2 linked regions of the Callithrix jacchus genome follow. The protein of the gene in region 1 interacts with the protein of each later gene in a biochemical or structural test. Links are inferred from orthologs where the notes say so. Each region holds a gene or a part of one and is shown on either strand. Other genes may lie near its edges.

The links.
Region 2: the proteins of SORBS1 (region 1) and FLOT1 form a complex in vitro, tested with the Homo sapiens proteins (2 studies listed by BioGRID). The link is inferred for Callithrix jacchus from reciprocal best matches to the Homo sapiens genes SORBS1 and FLOT1.

Annotation. Positions count from the first base shown.
Region 1 is NC_133513.1:88,432,710-88,436,999, forward strand, and holds the start of SORBS1 (sorbin and SH3 domain-containing protein 1), read right to left. Parts: upstream 3,057-4,290; 5' UTR 3,003-3,056; intron 1-3,002. UniProt on the Homo sapiens protein: Plays a role in tyrosine phosphorylation of CBL by linking CBL to the insulin receptor. Required for insulin-stimulated glucose transport. Involved in formation of actin stress fibers and focal adhesions.
Region 2 is NC_133505.1:35,533,552-35,537,820, forward strand, and holds the start of FLOT1 (flotillin-1), read right to left. Parts: upstream 2,966-4,269; 5' UTR 2,782-2,965; intron 2,442-2,781; 5' UTR 2,428-2,441; coding exon 2,385-2,427; intron 2,121-2,384; coding exon 2,045-2,120; intron 1,958-2,044; coding exon 1,867-1,957; intron 1,586-1,866; coding exon 1,442-1,585; intron 1,071-1,441; coding exon 951-1,070; intron 864-950; coding exon 768-863; intron 583-767; coding exon 430-582; intron 1-429. Other genes in the region: IER3 (radiation-inducible immediate-early gene IEX-1), read right to left, coding at 4,117-4,269. UniProt on the Homo sapiens protein: May act as a scaffolding protein within caveolar membranes, functionally participating in formation of caveolae or caveolae-like vesicles.

The sequences.
Region 1 (4,290 bases):
CCTGTCTCAAAATAACCACCACCACCAAAAATAAAAATAAACAACCCAGATACATCTAGAAAACAAGATCTACATACAATCTATCCACCTGAGTTCCCACCCCAGCTCCACGCCTTGCCAGCTGTGTGACCTTGAAACAATGGCCAAACCTCCCACCCCTTCAAATTCCTTAGTGAGTTGGGGGGTGGAACATGGCAATCACAGAGGTCTTTTACAACTCTCATCTTCTAGATAGGTAAATGTTCACCTGTATAACCATAAATAACCCAGCAAGTTAAACATCCACAGGGAAAGAGAACAAATTACAGAAACTCCCTTTCCTCAGCAATCTATCATCTCACCCTCATCACCCACAGACAACCACTCACTCTGGGGTCTGTGTCTCTCACTCTGGGCCATTCTAGCTCTGAATTATTTATGTACAGTTAAACCTCAAAAATCACACAATCAAGGGAAAGGTAGATGTGAGTCCAACAGAAGCCTGAGTTCTAGAATGCTTCTTTCATGCCATTGTGCAATACTTGGAATTTAATATCAGTTTAGCAAACAAGAAACTAAAAATGCCATCACAAACTGTGACTCTAAGAACAGTAGAGTTGTCAGGAACCCTGGAAGACCCTCTGCTCTAACATCCTCCACTTCATCAGCAAGGATACAGGCCCAGAGAGCAGAAGCCACTAGCCCAAAGCCCAAAGATTAGTGGCCAGGACCAAAGCCAGCTGACCTGCCTCTGGTCCAGAGCTCTCTTCCACCAAAGCTTTTGGAAACCATCCCTGCCTTTCTCCTACAGACAGGTCAAATCCTACCATGGAGTGCCCTCTACAGCAAATCTATCTCCACATCCAGGGAGGGGTCTGGAGATAAGTCTGGATGATCTGAAGATTATCAATGCTGCACAATAAAAGCTTTCTTTCCTGGGCCCTGCCCTTTCATTCTTTGCAAAGAAAACCCTAGACTCTGCTATCTGTATTGAACTCTATTTTAGAGAAGGGGAAAGAGGGGAACAGCTGAACAGTGCTTTGTTCTGCCAGGAAGAAGCATTTGCTCATCCTTTCCCATAACTCCTACCCACTCCCCAATATGCCCGATCCCTTCTGAAAAGTTTACAGAAACTCTCCAGCTACAACAAATGAAAGCAGGTAGGAATGGGTGTCGTCCACAAGATAATACCCTCCCATCTCTTTACCCCAGAGGGTAGACAGGACTTCATTTCAGTTGCTATTTCTCTGCAGGGAAGTCGCCAAAGGAGTGGTCTCAGGGCCCTCCAGCTGAGAAACGTGCTCTGAAACCCCTTGAGAACTAACCCTTTCCTAACAATCTGCTCCAATGGTGCCTAGGGCAAAGGTACCAACAGACCAATCCTTCCCTCTTTTCCCCTCAGGCCAAGAAGACATCAGAGCTTGGTTGGCGAGGGGCTATTTAAAGCAGCATCTAGAGGGCAGGGCAGAGAACTGCTGGAGGCATCCTCTTCCTCCACCCCTCCCCATCACAGCCCCAAAAATATGCCCCTCACTCAGAAGACAGCCATCTACCTTATCTGTGTCTGAAAGCTGAAGATATGTCCATCATGTTTTCTATCATTGATGCTGCTGACCCCGCTGCTGCCCACCCCATTTTTAATCCAACCCTCCTCTCTTCGATCACACCAAGCTACCTTTTCAACCAAAAACACAGAATTGAATCTAAGCAGAGGAGCTCAAAACACAAGGAGAGTGAAGACAGCCAATCCGTCCACAGCCTCCCCTTAAGAGAGGAAAAAGGGCGCGGGGGGCGGGGGGCTGTTGAGGGGAGAGATGGAGTCAGAGGCCTGACATGCCAGATAGGTTCCATGATGTCTCTAGATGAACCTCTCTCCTATTGACGGTGAAACCAATTCCAGCAATTTCAGCAGGTCGGCCCTGTGACAACAGGGGCATCCAGCGCTCAGTATTTAAAACAAAAATCCAAAGGCTCGCCCAGAACCTGCTGGGAAAACCCGGGGACTGAATAAAACGAGCCACGCTCAGTGGGATCCCTTCTGCTTTTATGTAGCAATGTAATAGCGTAATAAATTCTTGTCTGCCTGGAGAAAGCATGCACTGGTGAATTTCAAAGCCATCTTACAACAGCGGAGGCATGGGGATGCAGAATTCGACCGCACATTCCCCCCCATGAAGGAAACATAATGACTTCAAGCCTCTTTCCCTCTATCTTGAATGGCGCTACCGCGTATCTAGGAAGCCACGTCGAAAAGCAGCGAGGTGAGAGCGGGGGATGCCCGGGGAATTCGGAGAAAGGAGTTGCTTGCTGTCCATGTCGGTGACGAGCTGCCTAGCAAGATGCTGTCAGCCACTCGGGGAGAGGAAGGGGCACGGGCGGCACGGGCAGGCGCGGTGTCCCCGGCGCACACTCGTCCCGGTTCATTCAGGCGGGTCCGGCCAGCCGAGGCGTCCTCGCGCCCCTCCCGCCACCCTCTCCCAGGGATGCTGATGAATGAACACACCTGAGATGCCTCCATCCTGCCGCTCGCTCCCTCCGCCTTCCTCTGGCTGCTGCAGAGGTGCCCCTCCTCGGTAGTTTCACTTTACAGCACAAACCCATCCGGGGTTTGATGTCTCTTCCACCCACCCACATTGCAGCCACCCTGAGACGGGAGGACATTCTCTCCTAGCAGAGGCCATGATCGCACTACCCTCCACCCACCAAAATAAGAAAAAAAAAAAACACCCAACCCTGGAAGCCCTCATATCCTCCGCACCCTGGGGAACTCTCCTTGAAAGACTGGGGATCCGCCGAGCAGGCAGGATGCACGGTTCGGACGCGGGCGACCACCGCTTTCCCCGTGCCCATCGGGGGATGCTCTGGGGGAGGGGGGGTCCCCCAGGTCCCTCCAACAGCTGGCCCTTTAAATGCGCCTCCTCCGGGCGCGGAACAAAGGCGCCGCCCGCGGGGGCCTGGCCGCGCACACCCCCGGCGTTGCCGCCGCCGAGCGGGCGAGCGCGGACGGGCGGGCGCTGGCTTACCTTGCTGGTCGCCGGGCGGGCGGGCTGCGCGCGTCCGCCCCTCTCGCACTACACGCTGCAAGCTGGCCCCGCTCTGTTTTTCTGGGACTCGGAGCTGACTTCACCAACACTCCGCGGACCGCCAATGGGCTGCGGCGCCCGCCCCCTCATTAGCATGCCTCTGGAACCGTCCACTCTGGCAGCTCCCGGCCAGCGGGCGGTGCCAGGGGGCGGTGCCGGGCCCAGCCGTGACAGGAAGGGGCGTGTGCGTGGATGGGAGGCAAGGAAGCGTCCGGCGCCCGGCCCGAGTCTCCCGGCTTTGTGAGCCCGCCGGTAACGCGCGCGCGGGCCAAGTATCACTTTCCGTCCTGGCCAGGCCGCGGACTGGGCCGGACGCTGGCCTGACGCACCTTCTGGTCCTTCAAGAGGGGTCGCCCACGGAGAGCTTGGAAGAACCCTTAAATGTAAAATGACAGCGATAAGTTACTTAACCCCTGGACCTCAGTTTACCCATCAGTAAAATGGCATAATAGTACCGATTTCGTAAAATCTAGTGAAGATTAACATAGTTAACATACGTGATGCGTTTAGATCAGTGCCTGGCTGTCGTGCTACAATAAACGTTTGCTGTTATCATCAGTGTGCTCTGTACCAGCCAATGTGCTTAATGCTTCCTGGATATTTCCTCATTTGATCCTCTCAGCCTGGTAAGAGAGGAACGATTACTAATCCATATTTTTCAAGTGGGAAAACTGAAAATAATTACTATTTTTTAAGCGAGAAAACTGAGATGTAGTTTAAGTGGCTTGTCCGAGGTCATACAGCAAGTGGGGCAATCAGGATTTGAACCCAGGCTCTGAGGTTTCACTCATGCAACACACATATTTTTAGAGGCTCTGTGGCAGTGCCGGACCCTGGTGTTAACTGCAGAGAACAAGACAGGCAAGGCCTCTTCCTTCAGGAAGCTTCCATTTTAATGGCAAACAAGTAAGTAAGATCCTCTGCAATGTGAAAAGTAGAGTGAATACAATGCAACAGGGTCATTGCAAGTGGAGGGAAGGCACCGTGTTGGATAGGGTTCAGAGCTAGCCACTGTGCTATACCATTCTCCTGAGCTCCTCTAGTCCCCCTCAGAGTTACAGAAAAGGAAACAGAGGCAGGGATCAGAGTGAGGAAACTGCTGGCCCAAGGTCGCGGAGCCAGCAAGTACTGGTCTGGAACTTGCTCCCTCCATGACTGTGTTCCCACATCCCTGAAGATAAGACAGTCGCCCCTTGGCCTGAGCACAACTGATGTTTGTCAGCTGCCC
Region 2 (4,269 bases), on another chromosome or scaffold:
TCACTGCAACCTCCACATCCTGGGCTCAAGCAATTCTCCCGCCTCATCCCCTCAAGTAGCTGGGACTATAGGGCCAAGCTGCCACACCTGGCTAATGTTTGTATTTTTTGTAGAGACAGGGTTTCACCATGTTGCCCAGGCTGGCCTTTAACTCCTGAGGTCAAGTGATCAGACTGCCTGGGCCTCCCAAAGTGCTGGGATTACAGGCATGAGTCACCACACCTGGCTGGCCTTTTCTTTAAAGCTTTTCAGCTGTAACATCTGAGTCTTTTAAATCTTTCCTCAAATGGGGGAGTTGAGCCAGAGATGGAGACTCAGAATAAGATCAAAGAGTATGAGAAATAGTGGTGTCCTGAGATGGACAGCCTGAGAGGAATGGGGAAGGGGCAGAGAGTGGGCCGGCCGTCTGCCCAGTGCGGTGGCTCTGACCTGAAGTTGATAGGCCAGATCAGCCTGTGCTCGTCGGGTGTTGACCTCGATGTCACAGGCGGCCTTCTTCAGCTCGTAATCTCTCTGTGCCTTGGCCATCTCGATCTCACTCAGGTACTGAGCAGACACCTTTTCCTGCTTGGCTTTAGCTTCCTGTGGAAGCAGAGATCAGGTAGGAAATGTCAGGGGAGGGAGAGGAAAGGCCATGGTGAGAGCCACTTCCCACCAGCGTTCTTGGTCTGCCTCATGTATTTTCCCTGCTCACCCAGCACTCCTGCTCCTACTCAGTTGTGCCACTTCTATCCCCTTTCCCACCAAGCAACCCCCATCTCTCTCACCCGGATCCCAGCATCTCTCTTGGCCTCTGCTTCTCCAATCCGTGCATCTTTTTGAACTTGAGCTGTTCGAGCCTTCCCCAAAGAGTGCAAATAGTCCTGTAGGAGACATGTAGAAATTAACCCTTCGGAGGGCTTAAGAGATGGGAGCAAGGAAATGGGGAAGGATCAATCACCTAGTTTTACCTGGTCATCGTGAATGTCCTTCAGAGTGTAGCTAACCACGCTGATGCCCATGTTGACCAGGTCTGAGGAGGCCACTTTGAAAACCTGCTCTGAGAATTTCTGTCTGTCCTTATAGATCTCCTGTAATAACAGGATGGTGGGGAGAGGGGATGTAAGCTCTTTCGTTTTTGGCTTACTGCACCCTCTACCTGCTGGGTTCAAATGATTATCCTGCCTCAGCCTTCCAAGTATCTAGGATTACAGATGACTACCACCATGCCTGGCTAATTTTTGTACTTTTAGTAGAGACGGGGTTTCATCAGGTTGGCCAGGCTAGTCTCGAACTCCTGATCTCAAGTGATCCACCCACCCTGCCCTCCCAAAGTGCTGGGAACCACCCTGCCCGGCTGGGATGGAAGCTCTTGGATCCACTGTCTCTCACAGGCTAGTGTGGTCCTTGGGCCCCCCTCATTTTGGCATCCTTCCAGATCGTTCCCTGCCCCCAGGCCAACCTCCACAGTCATGTGGGCCATGATGGCTCTCTGGTGGCCCTCTAACGTCTCCAGGGCAATGTGGGCAATCTCAGCCTCAGTCTTTCCCAGGAACATCTGACAGGCGGCTGCCAACATCTCCTTGTTCTGCCCCTGGATTTTTACCTGCAGCCAGAATAGGGACAGGAAAGGTGTGGTGGGGATCTCATTAAGTCAGAGAAGAAGCAGAGAGAGAAGGGGGAGCCCGCTAAGAAATGCTTCTTCCATTTCAGGGAAAGAAAGGAGGAGGAGCCAAGTGCCTTGTGGGTGCCTGGAGAAGATGAGACTAGCAGAGAAATTTCTCTGCAGGCAAGGATTGCAAAGGTTGTGGCCGGAACATGTCTTAATGTCTGGGAAAGAGGGTAATGGGGAAATGGACTTTGGGGAAAAGGCTCTGAGAGCCTCACCTGGGCAATGCCAGTGACTGAGATGGGGACCCCATGGCGAGTGTAAACCTTTTCACTCTTGACATTGAGGGTCAGTGTGTTGAGAGAGATCCTAAGGGAAAAAGAAGGGGCAGACAGTAAGAAAAGGAGGAAAAAGAGAAAACGGAGGTTCCCCTTCCTTAGTTCCCATCTTGCCTACCTCTGGATCTGCTGGATGCAGGGCAGGACAAAGACACGTCCTCCAGCCACCATGACAGGGGGGCTTCGGCAGAACCCTGCAAGGTGAGGAGCAGTGAGCAACTGTGGCAGAGCTTGAATGTGGAAGACTGAGGATCTGGCGGGGGTGAGGGGAAAGCAACCCACAGGAGAGTATCTGGGAGCTGGAGGGGAAGCAGTTTGGGCCTTGAAATGGTGGGGATGAAACTGGGCAGTTCGGGGGCATAAGTCTGGCGCTGGGAAGCTGGTAGGAAGGGAGAAGGGGCAGAAGCCAGACTCACAGAGGTTCTGGAGCCACTGGCTGGGAAGGGAAAAGTACTTACCGGAGACCACCATGGCCTCATTTGGGCCACAGGTGAAAAACATTGTTTAGGCTGGAGCTGGAGGAGGGAGGGAAAGCCTTTGCGAATGGGGAAGCGGGGCTGTGGCGTCCACAGGGGTCCATCCTTTACCTTCCCCATCAGGCCCTCCCAGTCTGCATCCGCCACAGCCCGTCCCTTCTGCATCCATGGGTCTGCTAAGGCTTTCCCCTGCGAAATCCTTAAGATCCCAAGCGACCTGTTCCCCGCCTGTTTACGGTTCCTCCCTTCCCCTAGCCGCTCTCCCGCCTCGGAGCCGACGGTTTCCCCTTTGATAAAGGTCCCCCGCGCCCAGAGACCTGCAGCCCTTTCCCCTCCCTCCCTGCTTCTCCGCAGCCCCAGGCTCCCCTCCCCGACTCACCTTCCCGGACGCGGGTGGCGGCCGGGCTGGGGTCTAGGGAAGGGCGGGGACGCGCAGGGACCTGGAAGCCGAGCAGGGGCCGCTCGCCGACCAGCCTTCCTGGGAGCTGGGCCTGCTCCCGCGTTCCCCACCCTGCCGCACCCTGTTGCTGCGGCAGACGCGACCCCGCCCCCCGCAGCGGACTAAACACCCCCACCTCGCCACGCCTCGGCCCGCGCGCTCGTCCCGCCCCTTTCCCGGCAGGCCCCGCTCGGGTCCGCAGCCCGGGGCCTGGTTAGCCCGGGGAGGGCCAAGGCCCTGCCGCCCAAACCACCGCCCTTCCTGAGAGGAGAACCGCCCAGGCTGTTCCAAGCTCCGCCCCAGGCGCGGGACTTGACCTCGGCGGACCCGGCACCCCGGCGTAAGGGTGATTGCCACATTTCGGATTCGCCGCGGGGCAACTACCTGGGAAAACCGCAAACTAGGCAATGAACGACTGCATCCGGCAACCGGATGCTGGGTTCTCTGACTCCAGTTAAAGGGGCTCGCTGGCTGGGGACTTGGCCACTGCGCCTCCCGCCGGTCCTCGGCATCTGAAGACGGGGAGGAGTGGGGAGTCGGCGCTTGCAAAGACACACTTAAGACTGCAGACAGTAAATCAAGTTTATTTGTTCACAGAACATACTCGGCGATTTCGACAGTCGCCCCGTGACAGCCCACCAACCCCCAACCTTCTACCCCGCAGCCGCCCTTTAAGGGCGACTTCGAGGAGATCGAAGGCCACGGATCTCCTGCCCAACGGTCCGCCAAAGTCTCACAGTAGACAGACGGAGTTGAGAGGCTGGAGGACGCAATGTCACCTCCTAAACCTACGACCCACCACCAGACTTGACCCCAGCCGGGACGTCCTCCCCCACCCGAGTCCTCCCCATTTCTTCTACTCTGCCGCAGTTCCAGGTGTCCTGCCTCCACCAGTCCCACAAAGTTCAATAAATACCAAGAGACTTGCGTTTACAGTAGGGGGAACATCTCACACCCTTGCATAAGTTAAAATAAATATTACGTGCACCCCTCCATCACCTAGGAGGATGTACATAAATACATATAAATATTAATTAGGAGCAATAAGAAATAAATTAACGACGCTCTCCTTCCCACCGGGCCTAGCCCCAGCGTGGCCGTGCCTCGGTCTCTGTGCGCCTTGGCCCGCCTCAAGCACCTGCAGGAGTCTCCGCTGTAGTGTTCTGAGTTCGAATTGCCTCTAAGTCCCAGTTTGGGATACGCTCTTTCGGACCAGGTACGCCTGGTGTTTCTTTGTGGTTTTTCGGATTCTTTTTTGGAAGTGCGGAGTCACAGTTAGAAGGCGGCCGGATGTTGCTGGAGGAAAGTGCTGAGGTCCAGAGCGTAGTCCGAGGGCTCCGAGGTCAGATTAAAGGCCTCGAGAACAGGGAGCACAGGGGTGGAAGCCGGGGATGCGGCGCTGGGGGCGTCCTCCGGAGGCAGGGGCGC